2 linked regions of the Struthio camelus genome follow. The protein of the gene in region 2 binds, or shares a complex with, the protein of the main gene of each other region. Links are inferred from orthologs where the notes say so. Each region holds a gene or a part of one and is shown on either strand. Other genes may lie near its edges.

Evidence for each region. The genes of interacting proteins can lie anywhere in the genome.
Region 1: the proteins of DNM1L (region 2) and MIEF2 are in contact, whole or in part, in a cryo-EM structure (PDB 5WP9), measured with the Homo sapiens proteins. The link is inferred for Struthio camelus from reciprocal best matches to the Homo sapiens genes DNM1L and MIEF2. Residues at the interface, in NP_036192.2 of Homo sapiens: Asp190, Met191, Ala192, Thr193, Ser194, Leu197, Lys198, Ile199, Arg201, Glu202, Gly223, Thr224, Asp225, Asp228, Arg233, Val234; in NP_631901.2 of Homo sapiens: Val213, Asp214, Thr215, Val216, Arg218, Arg226, Leu230, Arg235, Val245, Gly246, Tyr248.

Annotation. Positions count from the first base shown.
Region 1 is NC_090956.1:3,624,648-3,632,115, forward strand, and holds the start of MIEF2 (mitochondrial dynamics protein MID49), read right to left. Parts: upstream 3,007-7,468; 5' UTR 2,920-3,006; intron 2,115-2,919; 5' UTR 2,108-2,114; coding exon 1,961-2,107; intron 1,573-1,960; coding exon 1,395-1,572; intron 478-1,394; coding exon 1-477. Other genes in the region: FLII (protein flightless-1 homolog), read left to right, coding at 3,216-3,278, 4,468-4,578, 5,451-5,522, 5,892-5,972, 6,464-6,549, 6,685-6,846, 7,044-7,147, 7,240-7,415. UniProt on the Homo sapiens protein: Mitochondrial outer membrane protein involved in the regulation of mitochondrial organization.
Region 2 is NC_090942.1:67,416,882-67,423,925, forward strand, and holds the start of DNM1L (dynamin-1-like protein), read right to left. Parts: upstream 3,009-7,044; 5' UTR 2,880-3,008; coding exon 2,778-2,879; intron 1-2,777. UniProt on the Homo sapiens protein: Functions in mitochondrial and peroxisomal division.

The sequences.
Region 1 (7,468 bases), on a different chromosome or scaffold from region 2:
CCAGCATCTTGTGGAGCGTCTCATTGAGCGCGTTGGAGGAGAGGTACCTGCCCACAATGAACCTGTCCCAGGGGCTGCGCCCACGAGGAAAGTACTCCAGATCAGTCCTCTTGATCATCCAGTACTGGGGGTTTCTCACAACAGTGTCCTCTCCTGGGATGAGGCTCCAGAGCCCAGGGTCAAGGATCACTGGCAGCATGAAGTCGACACGGTCAGCAGCAAGAGCCCCAAGGCCGTCAAGCAGGGGACCGCTGAGGAAGAGGCTGCCAAAGGGCAGCTCCGGGCACTTGCTCTGCAGGAAGTTCTGCAGTTCTGCGCAGATGTCCCTGGCCAGCTGCTGCGTGAGGGCCACCTGCTCCTCGGGGATGGCGAGGTGGCTGCTGTAGTGCAAGAGGAGTTTCTCCTGTAGCGTGAGGCAGCGTCGAGGGCTGGATTCGACCCGAAGAGTCTCTGGAGGGGCAGAACAGTCCCTGGGCTCTGTGAAGAGGGGATGGGGCAAAGGGAAGGAAGAAGTCAGCAAGGGCAAACAGCTCTCAGCAGATCATCCACAACACACAGCAGCAGCTTCTCCTGCCACATCCAAGGGGAAGGCCCGAGCTGAAAACCCAATTCTCGGCTCGAAAAAAACTCGATTCTCGGCTCATCTGCCCTTGGACACAAGGCCAACGTTGCCATGAGGGGCATCACTGAGTACTTTGATGTTAACAGCCCCTTTCAGCCGAGGCAGAGCTCAAACCAACCGTAAAACCGTACAGCACCCAGCACAACCTCCTGGCTAGAGATGGATAAACCAGGCGAAGCAATAGCAGCCAGAAGGGTCCCTCGCAAGTCTCAGCCGCAGTTTTTGTCCCCGCCACGCTCGGCTAGAGCCGGGCCCTGATGTCTGCCTGCTAGCCTGAGTCCGACAGACGATCCTGCTCTGGGCCAGAGGGCTCCTGGGAGTCTGCTATCTCAGGATCAGCCCTGCACCAAGCTGGGCAGGTTTTCTGCTAAGAAAAATGCCGTCTTTGTAAGCCAGCATTTTTCTAGGTGATTTATGAGCATACTTTCCTCTCTAGATAGAGAGCTGACCCAAAACCAAGCACAGCAGATACCGCTCAAACAGAAACAAAGCCCAGACAGCCTTCTACCACGACACGTTTGCCGAGACGCTCGGGGCGTTATCGGAGGTGTTATTCCTGCAGGCATTGCCTAAAAAGGGACCGCAGCTTGGGAGCCTCCCGCGAGGAAAGTCATAATCAGGTCAGCTTTCCGGTTACCGAGCTAAAAATAACCCGGAGCTCCCAGGCAGCCGGGAGCACAGCGCAGCCGGCCCTGCCACATCAAGGTGATCTTCACCAGCCCCGCGCAGGCGGAGCGCGGTGGCACCGTCCCGGGCGCGGAGGGAGCCTCACCTGGCACCGGCGGCCGAGCGGGCGAGAGCAGAGGCTCACTGAGGTCCTCCCTCCTCTGTTTCTTAGGGGGTTTTTGCGTTGCCTTGATCAAGGCCAAGTCCTGCCAGCTCTCCTCCAGGGTCTTCTGTTCTGCTTTGGGATCGCCTTCGTCGCGAGGGCTGGTGGCTCGGTCTATCAGCTGTGGGGAGACCCCGAAGCGGGGGGAGGCACGCATGCATCGCTGCTCTTAGCGGCTCCAATTCCCTGCACCCGACTGCACCCGGCTCCGGGGCTGGGGCACAAACGCCGACAGGGAGGCCCCGCAACGGGTCGCTCCCGCAGGGCGTTCCTGTTTGCAGGCGGACAACGTGCAGCGCCCAAACGCTCAGGTGCAAAGGCCAAATTGCTCTGGCCACAGCATCCTCGCACACCACGCTCTGCGTGCAAACACCAGGAGCGCGGAAGGGAAAATCCCCGGGAGCGCCCCCCTTAGCGGAACATTGCTCCTACGGACAGGGAAAAGGGATCATCCAGGATCCGCAGCAAGGAAAACCCAGCGCAGACAGGTTGCTCTCTCTGTACGTTACCCGCTTGACGGCCAGCGTGGCGATGGCGAGCGCGGCCGCGGCGCCCACGCCCAGCACCAGCCTGGCGTTGGCCAGGAGGAAGTCGACGGCGCTGCCCAGCCCGCTGTCGTCCTGCCGCTTGCCCCGCTTGGCTGCGAACTCCGCCATGGTCGCCCTGCAGCGGAGGGGAGAGGACAGGAGCCGTGGCGAAAAGCAGGATCCGGCCAGCTCGGCACCTCCTTTGCACGCACGGGACACCGGTCACTGGGTCCGGTGCCGCAGGAGACCCCGGAGAGCGCGGGAGCCCCTGGGGCGCCCCGGCCGGAGGGCACAGCGGGCCGCCCGGGAGGCTGCTGGCGCAGAGCAAGGTTCACGCCGGATGTCGCCCGCCTCCCGTGCTGCCCTTGGAGCAACTGTCCTGGCTCGGCCGCAGGCGGCTCGGAGGCCGCGGCGGCCCACGGCTGCTCGGCCCCTACGGTGCTGCCCCCCTCGAGGGCAGTACGGGTGGGCAGGTGATCGCAGGCACACATCACCCCGACAGCTGTAGCACCCCAGGGCTGGGACACACTGGGAACCCCGAACCCGCTAGGCTGGAGCCCGTGAGGTCCCCACGCTGCCTGCAGCACCGGCCCGCGAGGGCGCCGCAGAGACCCCACGCGAGACCCGCTGGCTCCGGGGGCACCCAGAAGGAGGAGACCCGCCCCCACCAGCCCCCCTGCCCCCCCCAACCACTAGGCTGCACACCCCCCGCCAGAGCCCAGGCCCTCGGGACCGCCCACGGACACCGCAGCCGGGCGCGACCTCCCCCGCGTGTGCGCGGCCCACGGTGCTCCGCAGCGGGGCTCGGGGACATCCGCCTCCCCCCCCCCCCACCGCGGGACACCCCGCGCGGAGCCCCCCGACCGGAGTCCTCCCGCCCTCCCTGCGCGCGCGGAGTCGCCCCCACGCGAGACCCCCCCCTGCCCCACGCGCGCGCTCACCCCAGCGGCGCGCGCCGCGGCGCGCCCGGACGTCCCCCGCAGCCGGCGGCGCGGAGGCAGCCAATGGGAGCGCGGCGCCGCCCGCCCGCGTTCGGAAATAGAACGCCGAGCGCCGGGCGCGCTGCCGTCACGCGCCTTAAAGGCGCCGCGCGGGCCGGGCGCGGGGCAGGGCTGCGGGCCCGGCGCGCCCCGCCGGCAGCGACGGGGTTAAAGCGGCGCGGGGCGGGGCGGCGGCGGGGGGTGGCGGTGCCGGCGCGGCCCCCCCCGGGTCCCCCCGCCCTTCCGCAGCGGCGGCCATGGCGGCCACCGGGGTGCTGCCCTTCGTCCGCGGCGTCGACCTCAGCGGCAACGACTTCAAGGTTGGGAGCGGGGGGCAGCGCGGCCGCGCACCGGGCCGACGGGGACGGGGCCTTCCACCCCCCGGCCATCCCGGCCCCACGGGGCCCGGCGAGCGCCGCCCCACGGTCCTCGGGATCCCGCTCCCCCCCCCCCCGGCCATGGCCGGGGGGTCTCGCCCTCCCCCGGACCCCCTAGGGCCCCATGGGGCCGGGCGATCCCAGCCCCCCCACGCGCGGATCCCGTGGGGCCAGGCAATCCCGCCCCCCACGCGCGGATCCCGTGGGGCTGGGCGATCCTGGCCCCCCAGCCCGGATTCCACGAGGCCGGGTGATCCAAACCCCAGATCCCATAGGGCCGGGTGGTCCTGCCCCTCCCCCAAGCCTGGATCCCGTGGGGCCAGGTGATCTGAAACCCAGATCCTGTGGGGCCGGGTGATCCCATCCCCCAAGCCCAGACCCCATGGGGCCCGGCGAGCGCAGCCCCCCCAAGCCCAGATCCCGTGGGGCTGGGTGATCCCGTCCCCCAAGCCCAGATCCCATGGGGCCGGGTGATCCCGTCCCCCAAGCCCAGACCCCATGAGGCTGGGTGATCACAGCCCCCCAAGCCTGGATCCCGTGGGGCCCGTTGGGCCGGGTGATCTGAAGCCCAGACCCCATGGGGCCAGGCGATCCCGTCCCCCAAGCCCAGACCCCATGGGGCCAGGCGATCCCGTCCCCCAAGCCCAGACCCCATGGGGCCAGGCGATCCCGTCCCCCAAGCCCAGACCCCATGGGGCCAGGCGATCCCGTCCCCCAAGCCCAGACCCCATGGGGCCAGGCAATCCCGTCCCCCAAGCCCAGATCCCATGGGGCCGGGTGATCCCATCCCCCAAGCCCAGATCCCATGGGGCCAGGCAATCCAAAGCCCAGATCCCATAGGGCTGGGCGATCCTGGCCCCCTCCTAGGCCTCCCTCAGCCCCATAGGGCCAGCTGATCTTCAGGCCCCACATCTTGGCCCCCCCAACCTCACATGGCCCCAGTGAGCCAGGTGACATTGGCCCCAGGCTCTGATCCCATGGGGCTGGGTGATCTCGGCCCCCTGGGGCAGCCGGGGGGGGGGGGGGGGCTGCGCTCCTTTCAGCTGGGCATATGGGGCTGGCGGGAGGGTCCGGCCTCCTGCCTTGGTTTTCTCACCCTTCGTTTTCCCCCCATCCCTCCTCTTCCTCGCAGGGCGGCTATTTCCCCGAGCACGTGAAGGCGATGACCAGCCTGCGCTGGCTGAAGCTGAACCGCACGGGGCTCTGCTACCTGCCCGAGGAGCTCGCCTCCCTCCAGAAGCTGGTGAGGGGCCGGGGCGCCCGGCCGGCGACAGAGCAGCGCGTTTCGGCCAGGGGATGGGGCTGTCGGGACCCTGCTGAGTAACCTGGTGTCTCACAGCCTCGTGGCTCGTCGCCGGGTGCTCTGAGGTCTAATAATAGGGCTGAGCCATGAACCGTGGTTGAAATTGGATGCAGGAGCTGTTAGGGGAGGGATTGAGATAGGCTTGCGCTAGGCTTGATCTTGTTTTCGTGGAAAACCAGGCTAAAAACCATGCTTAGGTCCTCTGCCCCCTGATAGAAGGGAAGGGTGAAGGTTTAAGTTGGGGAAGACTAAATTTTGGGGTTTTTTTTCCCTCCTTGCTAAAAGATATGAAGAGCAGTAATTGGCAGCTGCCTGGCTTTGGTTTTGGGAGGCTCAAGCTCTGTGCGAGACCAGGCCTTCGGTGGAGTTAATGGCTAACCTTTGCTTTTGGCAGTGTCCCGCAGTGTGTTATGGACACAGTTAAATGAGTGTCAGCCAAACGTGATGCTTTAAGCCCTGCCAGAAAGGCTGGTCCCCGCTCCGAGTGTGCCTGCTTTGGTGGCAGGGTGGCTCCGAGCACCCTTCCTCCGAGAGACGCTGCGGCGGGACAAGCTCTTGGCGATGTCGAGAGCAGCGCTGCCCAGCAAATCCTTCAAGATGTTCAGGGGCTACGGCTAGCTTAAAATCTGGGCCTTGGCATCTCATGCGTAGCGTCTCAGCAGCGCTGCCCGGGTCAGGGCTGAGCTCGCCCCGTGCCGCCGCCAGCCCCATCTCGCCTGCGATGCCGGAGCCCCGGTTGCTGCCTGGAGCCGCCCCTGCCGCTCTCCCCCGGGCGCCTTTCTCACGGTGGCTTCTTTGGGGCTTCCCTGCAGGAACATCTATCCGTGAGCCACAACAGCCTCACCACGCTCCACGGCGAGCTCTCCGGCCTGCCCTGCCTCCGGGTAAGTGCCCAGCTCTGTGCACCCTCAGCATCCCTCCTGAAGCAGGACCGGTGGCCCCCGGCACCTCTCAGCCAGCCCCTGCTCCGGGGACAGCAGCTTCCCGAGCCGGCTGGGCTGAGCAGGGAGATGCCCTGGGCACACCCTTCATTGCGTCACCCCCTTCTGGGAGGACTCGTGTCCCTCTCACCAGCAGGCAGAGCCCTCCCACCATCCCGTGCCTCAGTTTCCCTGGCCATCGGCATGGATGTGCCTGGCTGGGCAGAGCTCAGCAGGGCTCCGGGTGGCTGCAGGCCACGGCCTGGGCACCACCTCGCTGATGAGGCCGGCCGGGCCTCGCTGACCCCCAGCTCATCTCTCTCCCCTTTCCAGGCGATCGTGGCTCGTGCGAACAGCCTGAAGAACTCCGGAGTCCCCGATGACATTTTCCAGCTGGACGACCTCTCGGTGCTGGTACGCACAGCGCCTCCTGGCCGCCCTTCCCTGCAGCTCTGCCCAGCCTCAGCCACCATGGGAGGCAGCTCCGGCAAACACGGGAGCCAGCCAGACTCCTGGGTTCAGCTCCGCTGCCTCGGAGGCACCTCGCTCCTGTCTGGGAGCACACCCGGGCTGTACATGCACAGCAGGGCTGAGGGCGTCTCGGGGGAAGGTGCAACGAATCAGGTCCCGGTGCTTCCTGGCTCCCTTCGACTTTCTGGGGCCCTGGCTGTAAATGTCTTTGCTGCAGCTAGAAATCTTATCTCCTATCGAATCCGCGTTCTGTCATGCGCAGCCTGGAGGGTGGCAGGAGAGCCTGGAAGGACCGAGTGACAGTGCGCAGGAATGGGACAGGCCAAGCCCCCAAAGATGCCACTCAGTCCTGGGGTTTGCATGGTGGCTGCTGGAGGTGGGACCCTCCCTAGGGTGGAAGGTGACGCCTGCTTTGCTCTTCCATTTCTCCCAAGGACCTGAGCTACAACCAGCTTACAGAGTGCCCCCGGGAACTGGAGAACGCCAAGAACATGCTGGTCCTCAACCTCGGTCACAACAGGTAGGTCCTGGCCACCTCCATCCATCACATCCGTTGCTCCCCCTTGCTCCAGGTCCAGCTCTCTGCCCTCTCCGTGGCGGCACCCGGGGCTGGCGCAGGTGCCGGGCTGCTCTGAAGAGTCCCATGTCCCTGCAGCATCGAGACCATCCCCAACCAGCTCTTCATCAACCTGACGGACCTGCTCTATCTCGACCTGAGCAACAACAAGCTGGAGAGCCTCCCGCCACAGATGAGACGCCTGGTCCACCTCCAGACCCTCATCCTCAACGACAACCCCCTCCTCCACGCGCAGCTCCGGTAAGGCCCCGTTTTCTGGGCAGGATCCTGCCATGCCGGCATGGGGTGGCGTTCAGCTCACCAGTGGCCCAGCCCTGGCTTGGTCCCCCTGGGAAGGGGGATGGCCTGTCCCTGGGGTCCCCTGCTTGGCCGGACCCATGGCTGTGCCAGGGTCTGACTCCAGCTCTGTCACTGTCTCTGTCCCTGGGTCTCTGCAGGCAGCTCCCAGCAATGACAGCCCTGCAGACCCTCCATCTCAGGAACACCCAGCGCACCCAGAGCAACCTTCCCACCAGCCTCGAGGGCCTGACGAACCTGGCAGGTAGGGCCAGGGCACGCGGCACCAGCAGCCTCGGGCTCTCCCGGCCCTGGCACTGGGCTGGCCAGCAGCCTCACCCCACTGTCTTCCCCTAGATGTGGACCTGTCCTGCAACGAGCTCAGCCGCGTCCCCGAGTGCCTCTACACCCTGAACAGCTTGCGGCGCCTCAACCTCAGCAGCAACCAGATCGCAGAGCTGTCTCTCTGCATTGACCAGTGGACCCAGCTGGAGACCCTCAACCTGTCCCGTAACCAGCTCACCTCCTTGCCCGTACGTAGCATACCAGCCCATATGTCATGTCCCTGCACTTGCCTCTGCGCCAT
Region 2 (7,044 bases):
GAAATAGTTGTAAAAAGGGAACTGAAACACAGATTCAGGAAAAGATAAATAAAAAGAAAACCCACTGTAGAATGACAGAAAAACCCTAAAATAGCAACACAGAGTTAGCATTCCAAGGGCATTCTCCGAGTTCCCGCAGTAGGAAATGGAGTCTTCGGTTTTCTTAATACACTCTAGGAGGATACAGAAATAACCTACACAGTATTTAAGTAGAAAATGAGAAGCAATTCTCATATGACAAAGTCACAAGAATGAGACTAGAAAAAGAGCAAGAGGCCATCTAAATGTTTAAAATCTACTAAGAAGTATTTTGTAATTAGTATCAAAATCCATCTACAAAAATCAAAAAATTAGGACACCTCAGTTGCTCAGAGTTTTCAAGGAAGATAGGAAATGAGTTTCCAAACAAGAGAGAGGGGGAAAGAGGCACATGGAGAAACAGAAAACATCCAAAGATAACTTAAAGATTTTAAGTACTTGCTAACTCTACATACTCTAAAAAAGAAGAAATCAATTTGGCATATAGAAGTAGAAATAAATGAGAACTGAAGAAAGACATAAGTACAAAACAAATAGTAAAAGGGTACAGAACAGATACAGAAGGTAAATGAAAACAAATGAATAGTGAAACTGTTAAAAAAGGTTTTTTTTTCTCCATGCTAAATATAAAAAAAGGCCATTTTAGAAAAGCAACAGACAAAATAGACAAAAAAAATTAATGGAGGGTTACAGAAATGTTAATAACATTTGTTTTTCCACATAGTAAAATGAAGGTGCGAAATTCAGAAAGTTGTTAATATTATACAAAAAAGAAAAAACAAGAGACTGCAAAAGCCAGTGGGCTACAAAGAAATTAATCATCTGAACAAATTTAGCGGTCACATATCACTTAACCAAAAATACCTCAAGAAACCGACCAAAGGATATTGGTTTTTTTTTTAAATGTGTCTTCTCAAACAAACAAACAAATCACGGAAGCAAAGCACCAGTAGTAATAGGATCGGCTATAGGGCCATATTTGAGGCAAATCCAGAAATCTAGTAGCCAATAAGCTAACTTCAAATGAATAAAATAAAGTGTTTTTTAAAATGAATGAATTGGGTAAAATAACTATCTAAAGAATTAGCATTTCAGTGAGAACAATTATTTCTTCCAATAACTCTGACTAAAAATAGTGTTTTGCAAACAAAAAAAAAAATCACGGACCAAGGGCTTTATATATGTCTGTGAAATTATAATACAATTATATAATGTAATTATAATTTCACAGACATTTTGCTGTATTTTTTCTGGAGTCTATAAAGCTCTTGGCCTTGGTGTGCTAAGAGGCATCACACTATTTTACCTTATTCTATGTCTTTTCATGAGTTTACCAAATTTGAAATTGAATGGATGTTACTACCCAAGGGTAGACTGTTCAAGTCAAATGCATGTCAGTATAATCGTAACACGCATCACCTACTCTATGTATTTATGAGCAGTTAACTAGGATCAAGTTGCTATAAAGCAACAATAATCCAAAAAATAAAGTGTCACTTCAATGTGTTTCATAAAGTGAAACAGAAAATAATACTTCCATTAACATTACACAGAAAAATGCCATATCTCTGCCTTGCACCTATTTCTGCTATAGAAATTAAAAAAAAATACAGCCTGCTTGCATGATTTTTAGTGTAAGAGATTAAATGTCTTCAGAAGGTGATGGACTCCTTTTAGCTACAAAAACAGCAAGAACCTAACATAACCTGTGAATGCAAAGTCTCTCCCACACAATGCAAGTATTTCAGATCTATTTTATAAAGTAATTGATATAAAGTCCATGAATCTACCTGATTTATATCAGTAAAAGAGACTGACAGCTGGTTGCCTTACAACCATTTCAAGAGTGTAATTAGCTATGGGCAAACCTAGTCCGTGCTTCAGCACTGTGTAAGCCTTAAACACGCAGCATCTGTTTTAAGCCACATAATGACATCTCAAACTGACCGCAGAACAGTTGATACTGCTGTCTCTTATGTAGCCAGGCTATTGTCAAGTAACATCAAATATTCATAAGCACGGTTAATTTCACAGAAACAAAGAGACCCATTAACTCCAAGTTAAAAATGAAAAAGCACTCCCCTCCCAGGCAGTTCTAGCTGTGCTAAAATGCTTCATTTTCAGCCTACAACTCCGACAGCTCTGGCTGGGCACATTTCGTCGCGGAGAGTTCTGTCGAGCAACTACAGCGCGCTTGCGTCCCTCCGAAAGGCTCCGAAACAATTTATAACCCTCCAGCGCTACCAGGCTGGGATGCGCACGCCGCAACTGTTCCAGGTTTGCTCTGTGCCGCTTCCTCCTTTCGCTCCAAACCGCTGCCCGAGCCAAACAGGTCCCAACAGCGCAAGGAACTGTCAAGCGACCTCGCGGGAGGGGGTTAAAAAAAAAAAAAGGGTGCACGCCGGCGAGAGGCGGCTTCTCCAGCGCGCTGCTGCGCCCCTCGCACTCGCCACCGGCCACAGCCGCCGGCGGCGCGGGGGAGGCGGGGAGCGGGCGGGCGGCGGAAGGGGAAGAGGCGCCGCGGCCGCAGGCGGCGGGGAGGCGGCCCGCCCCGCCGCGTCCCCCCGTGCCCTTGATAGAGGCAGCACCGGAGCCGCCCGAGCCGAGGCGCGGGGGAGGGTGCCTCGACTTTGCCCCCAGCGGCCGGGCTGCCGCCTCCCGCCGCTCGGCACCGACGGCCGCTCCCGCCGCCGCTGCCACCGCCCCGCCCGGGCCGGGCCGGGCCGCCCCCGCCTCACCTGCGTGCCCACCACGACGATCTGCGGCAGCTGGATGATGTCGGCCCCCACCGTGTTGAACACGTCCTGCAGCTTGTTAATCACGGGGATCAGCGCCTCCATAGCGGCGCGGAACCCGGCCGCGGGCCGCAGGTGCCGGCAATGAATGGGCGCGACGGGCAACGGCTCCCGTCAGCCGCCCCCACCGCCTGCCGCCATTGGCGCCGGCCCCCGCGCACGGCCCCGGCCCCCAGCAGGCTGTGCGCGCCCGCGGGGCGGGGCGGGGCGCCGCCGCCGCGCGGCACCACGGGAGCTGTAGTGCCGTTGGGCGGCTGGCAACGGCTCGTCGCGGGCCGTAAACGGACGCGTGGACTCGGGAAACGGCAGCGGGCGCGGCCCCCTCCCAGCTAGGGAAGGCAGGGTTACTGCTTTCCTGCAGTCAGGGGCGCCTCAGAGGCGACGCGGGCCCCCTGCGCCAGGGGTTGGCAGGCCGGAGCCACGGCCCGTGGCTGGTGCTGGCGGCCCTCTGGAGCCGGCAGGGCCGAGAGGCCGCTTTCCTTCGAGGCGCGGGTAGCAGCGAGCGGCTTGAAACCCCTCAGGAAGCAGCACTGCCCCAGCGCCAGGGGAAACAACCCAGAGGTGGCAACACGCCCGCCCGCTGCCCGGTAACTGCCTCGCCGCCACTTGGCCCGGCAAGGGTGCTAGACGGCAAATTGTTAACTTGTCAACAGGCTGGTCCCACCAAGCCGACAGGATGGGAAGATAAAACTGCTTGGAGGGAAAAAAAAGGGAGGAAAGCATCATGGGGGTTCATTAAGGGAGAGAAAAGAGCCAGAGAAGATCCAGTCATACAAAATATGCAGCAAAAAGAACATTCTCCCATACTGGTACACATACAAACAGACAGTTACAGTTGACAGGGCAGCAGGAGCCTAGATTTAAAACCGCTGGGTAAAACTGGGGGTAAGAAAAGCAGACACAGCCTTTGCCTTTTATATTTTCTAAAAAGTTTTAGCAGTTGCTGTGGCCCCTCCTCAAGTATTTTCGTGTTTCGCCTCAGTCATTTACATGCACCCCAAGAAGCCTTCTCCCTGCCAGCAGCATTTTAAAAACCTCTCCGTGTAGATGACACAGCTACATACATGCTCAGCTATGTACAGAAAAGAGTCCATTTGCAATTATCTGCAAACATAGATCTCTCTCTGACTACTTAGATGCACTGACCCATCTTACTCAATATTCTGGCCTGGGAGGATGTTCAAAATGTCTCCAGATAAGAATCAGATACTGAAACAGAAGTAAAGCATCCTATCTCTTTCAAGATCTTTCTTACTGAGTAATCATCATTCCATTATATTTATTCTATTTGCTTTCTTGTTGATGGCTTTGCTTTAGGTGCCAGTCTTTTACCTGACCTCTTCATCTGAAATTTTCCGGCTCAGATGCATAATAGTAGGGTTGGATGAGGTGTCTGGTGAGGCTTGGGAAGCGGAAAACTGTGGAAGATCTAGTATTCAGCTGTATCTTAGAAAAAGATAGACTAAAGCCTGAGAATGACTTGTGATAAAAGATAACAAAAAAGCTATCTGATCTTTAAATATCTTTCCCTTGAATGCATTTTCTCAAAGATAAATTATGAATATGTAATAGTTCTGAACTGAATTCTGGCATTGTCCCTTCCTGAATGCAACTGCTTCTGAAACTTTAAAGTTCTGGTTGACATAAGACTTTGTATTCTTATTCAGTCCAAATTAGTCAAGTCTTTTCTGCTCTTCATTTCTTGAAATTATCGAATGATGAAAGGGAGAATACACAAGGGCAATATGTTCTTGCCTACATATCTTTTCAACACAGCTTCTCATTCTTACCCAGTAAATTTCACACGGCTTCTTAGAGAACTGATATTTTATTGACAAAAGCAAAAAGATAGTTAAGCGAACTGAAACGGTCAGAAATGATTGTTTGCAGCATAGAGAGAAACAACTGGTTAACACTTGGAAAAATAAATGAAGAAGTGCCTAAATAACTTGTTGATGAGGAAGAAAGCAGGAGGACTTCTTATCATAGTGATACAATGACCTGCCATGATTTTCCAATGGTTTCACCCATTGGTTTTCAAGTGTGCTGAAACTGGCGGGTCTAAGAGACATTAAGATCATTAATACCAGGATGCCATTCAGGATCTGCCTCTCCTGCTGCCAGAACAATAGTGCATATTTCCTGTGTTGCATACACTGACACAGCCATAACACTTTCTAAAGGGTTTGCAGTTCCCTGACGAGGTCTATCACGGAACCTCATCTTATCTCCTTCCTCGAGCTCCTAGAAGGAGAAGGAAAAAAAAAGGAAAAAAAGAAGGAGACACATCCTTGTTGCATCGGAATGGAAACTGTTGGCATCTAAAGTGGGTAGAGGAGAAACTTATTTCTCTATGCCACTGTCTTTTCTCCTACTGCTTTCGTTTTCCGTGTAACCTAGTGGACAGCACTGTGAAATGGGTCAGCAAGTACAGTCTGTTTCACATATTAATTTAAACTAAAAGTGGTACATCTCAGAAAGGATATACAACTGAAAAGGTTCAGAGGAGGACAGCCAGAATGATGAAAGGTGTGAAACTGCATTGATAATGAGGAGCAACTAAGCAAGCTAGGAGTTGCCACTCTACAAAAGAAAGAAGGGAGGAGGAAGGATTTGAGGTCTGTATAATCTAGTGGCCTGGAGTGGTAGGAAGACGATCAATTTGTTTATTCTCCCTTTCAATACAAGAATTATTGGAGCATCTAATGAAGCAAGAAGAAGCCAGCTCAGAACAGAGCAAAGATAGTAGACCCTCATGGGTGGGTTGATGACCTATTGAAGTCCTTGCCAAAGGACGCTGTGGACAGTAAAATTTTACATGAATTGAGATGGAGACCGAACAAGTTTAATGAAGAGAAATGCATTGCGTGTAAATAAATACCTAGGTAGAATTTGCATCTAGCTCTGGAAATTTCTGAGCTGCAATGTTTGGAGGCTGAGAGAGCATCAAGCAGAAATACTGTGTACGCCTGCCCTTTAGTCTATCCCAGTATGGCCATTCTTGGAATTTGATCTGTATAACATTTCAAGAAACATACATGGAAAACATCAGTTGCTGAACTGAGTTGAGCAGAGATGTCAAAAAGACTATCAAGAAAAGGCAACCCAGTGTGAATTAAGGAAGAGAAGGAAAATGTGAGGAAAGGACTAAAGAAAATACAAGACTAGGAAACATCAGGATGCAAAGTTTAACATTGTACATTTCTGGCTAAAAAGTGGAAGCTGGAAATACCTTTGCTATGAAGCATCATATCCTTTATCAGCTTATGAAATGAAGCAATTATCTTATCCCAGTTAGAGTTCTGTGCCAAAGTAATAATCGTTTTAACAAGCAAGGATCATATGTGGCTTTATCTGTCTGCTTTCTATCTCAGACTCATACTGTACTGAGCAAGAAACTCGATGTGATAAAATAGTAGTAGTCAGGCTGGTTATTTACTAAAAGCAATTGACAACAGCAAGAAAACAGCAACTGCCACACTGAATCTGACCTGGTATCCATCTGTCTCAGAATCTCACCTCTAAAGATGTCCAGCACCAATGCTCCAGGGAAAATACAAAAATGCAATAATAAGATCTTATGATCCCAATACTATGTAGTAAGTAATTTTGATATTGCCAAAAGCTCTGAAGTAGACAATTCAATATTCCTTCCGTTTTATCAACATTACTTGAAACTAGATTGCTTTAGACACCTTATAATAGTTTTTGATCCATCAAGCTAAATTCTTGGCTGTAACGACTTCCTGTGCTAACAGGTTTCATGATCTAATTACACACAGTTCAAACAAGTTAGTGTCAGTTTTGAATTTGTCATCTTTTAATTTCATTATAACCTCTCCTTTGAAGGAAAACAAGTCTGAAGTCAGGAGAACAAAATTTCCAGTCTTTCTTCTCCATGGTATGAACTTACGTAGTTTTATGTCATCCTGATATTCCATTTACTTAGACAGCTGGAATCTCTTATATTGATGCACCGATCACAGTAGGAAAGTCACTTGCAGTGTAATGAATTCATGCTAGACAATGAGACCACAAGCCACGACCTCAGTAGGGAAATTTCTGTGCTGTCGTCATATTTGTCTAAAGAAAGAAAGATTTGACCGACACACTTCAATTTATCCAGTACGTAACATACTTAACATTTGCACTGCATACAAATCCTACATATTGCACAAACAGTACTGGCAAAATACTTCTCACCTTTTGG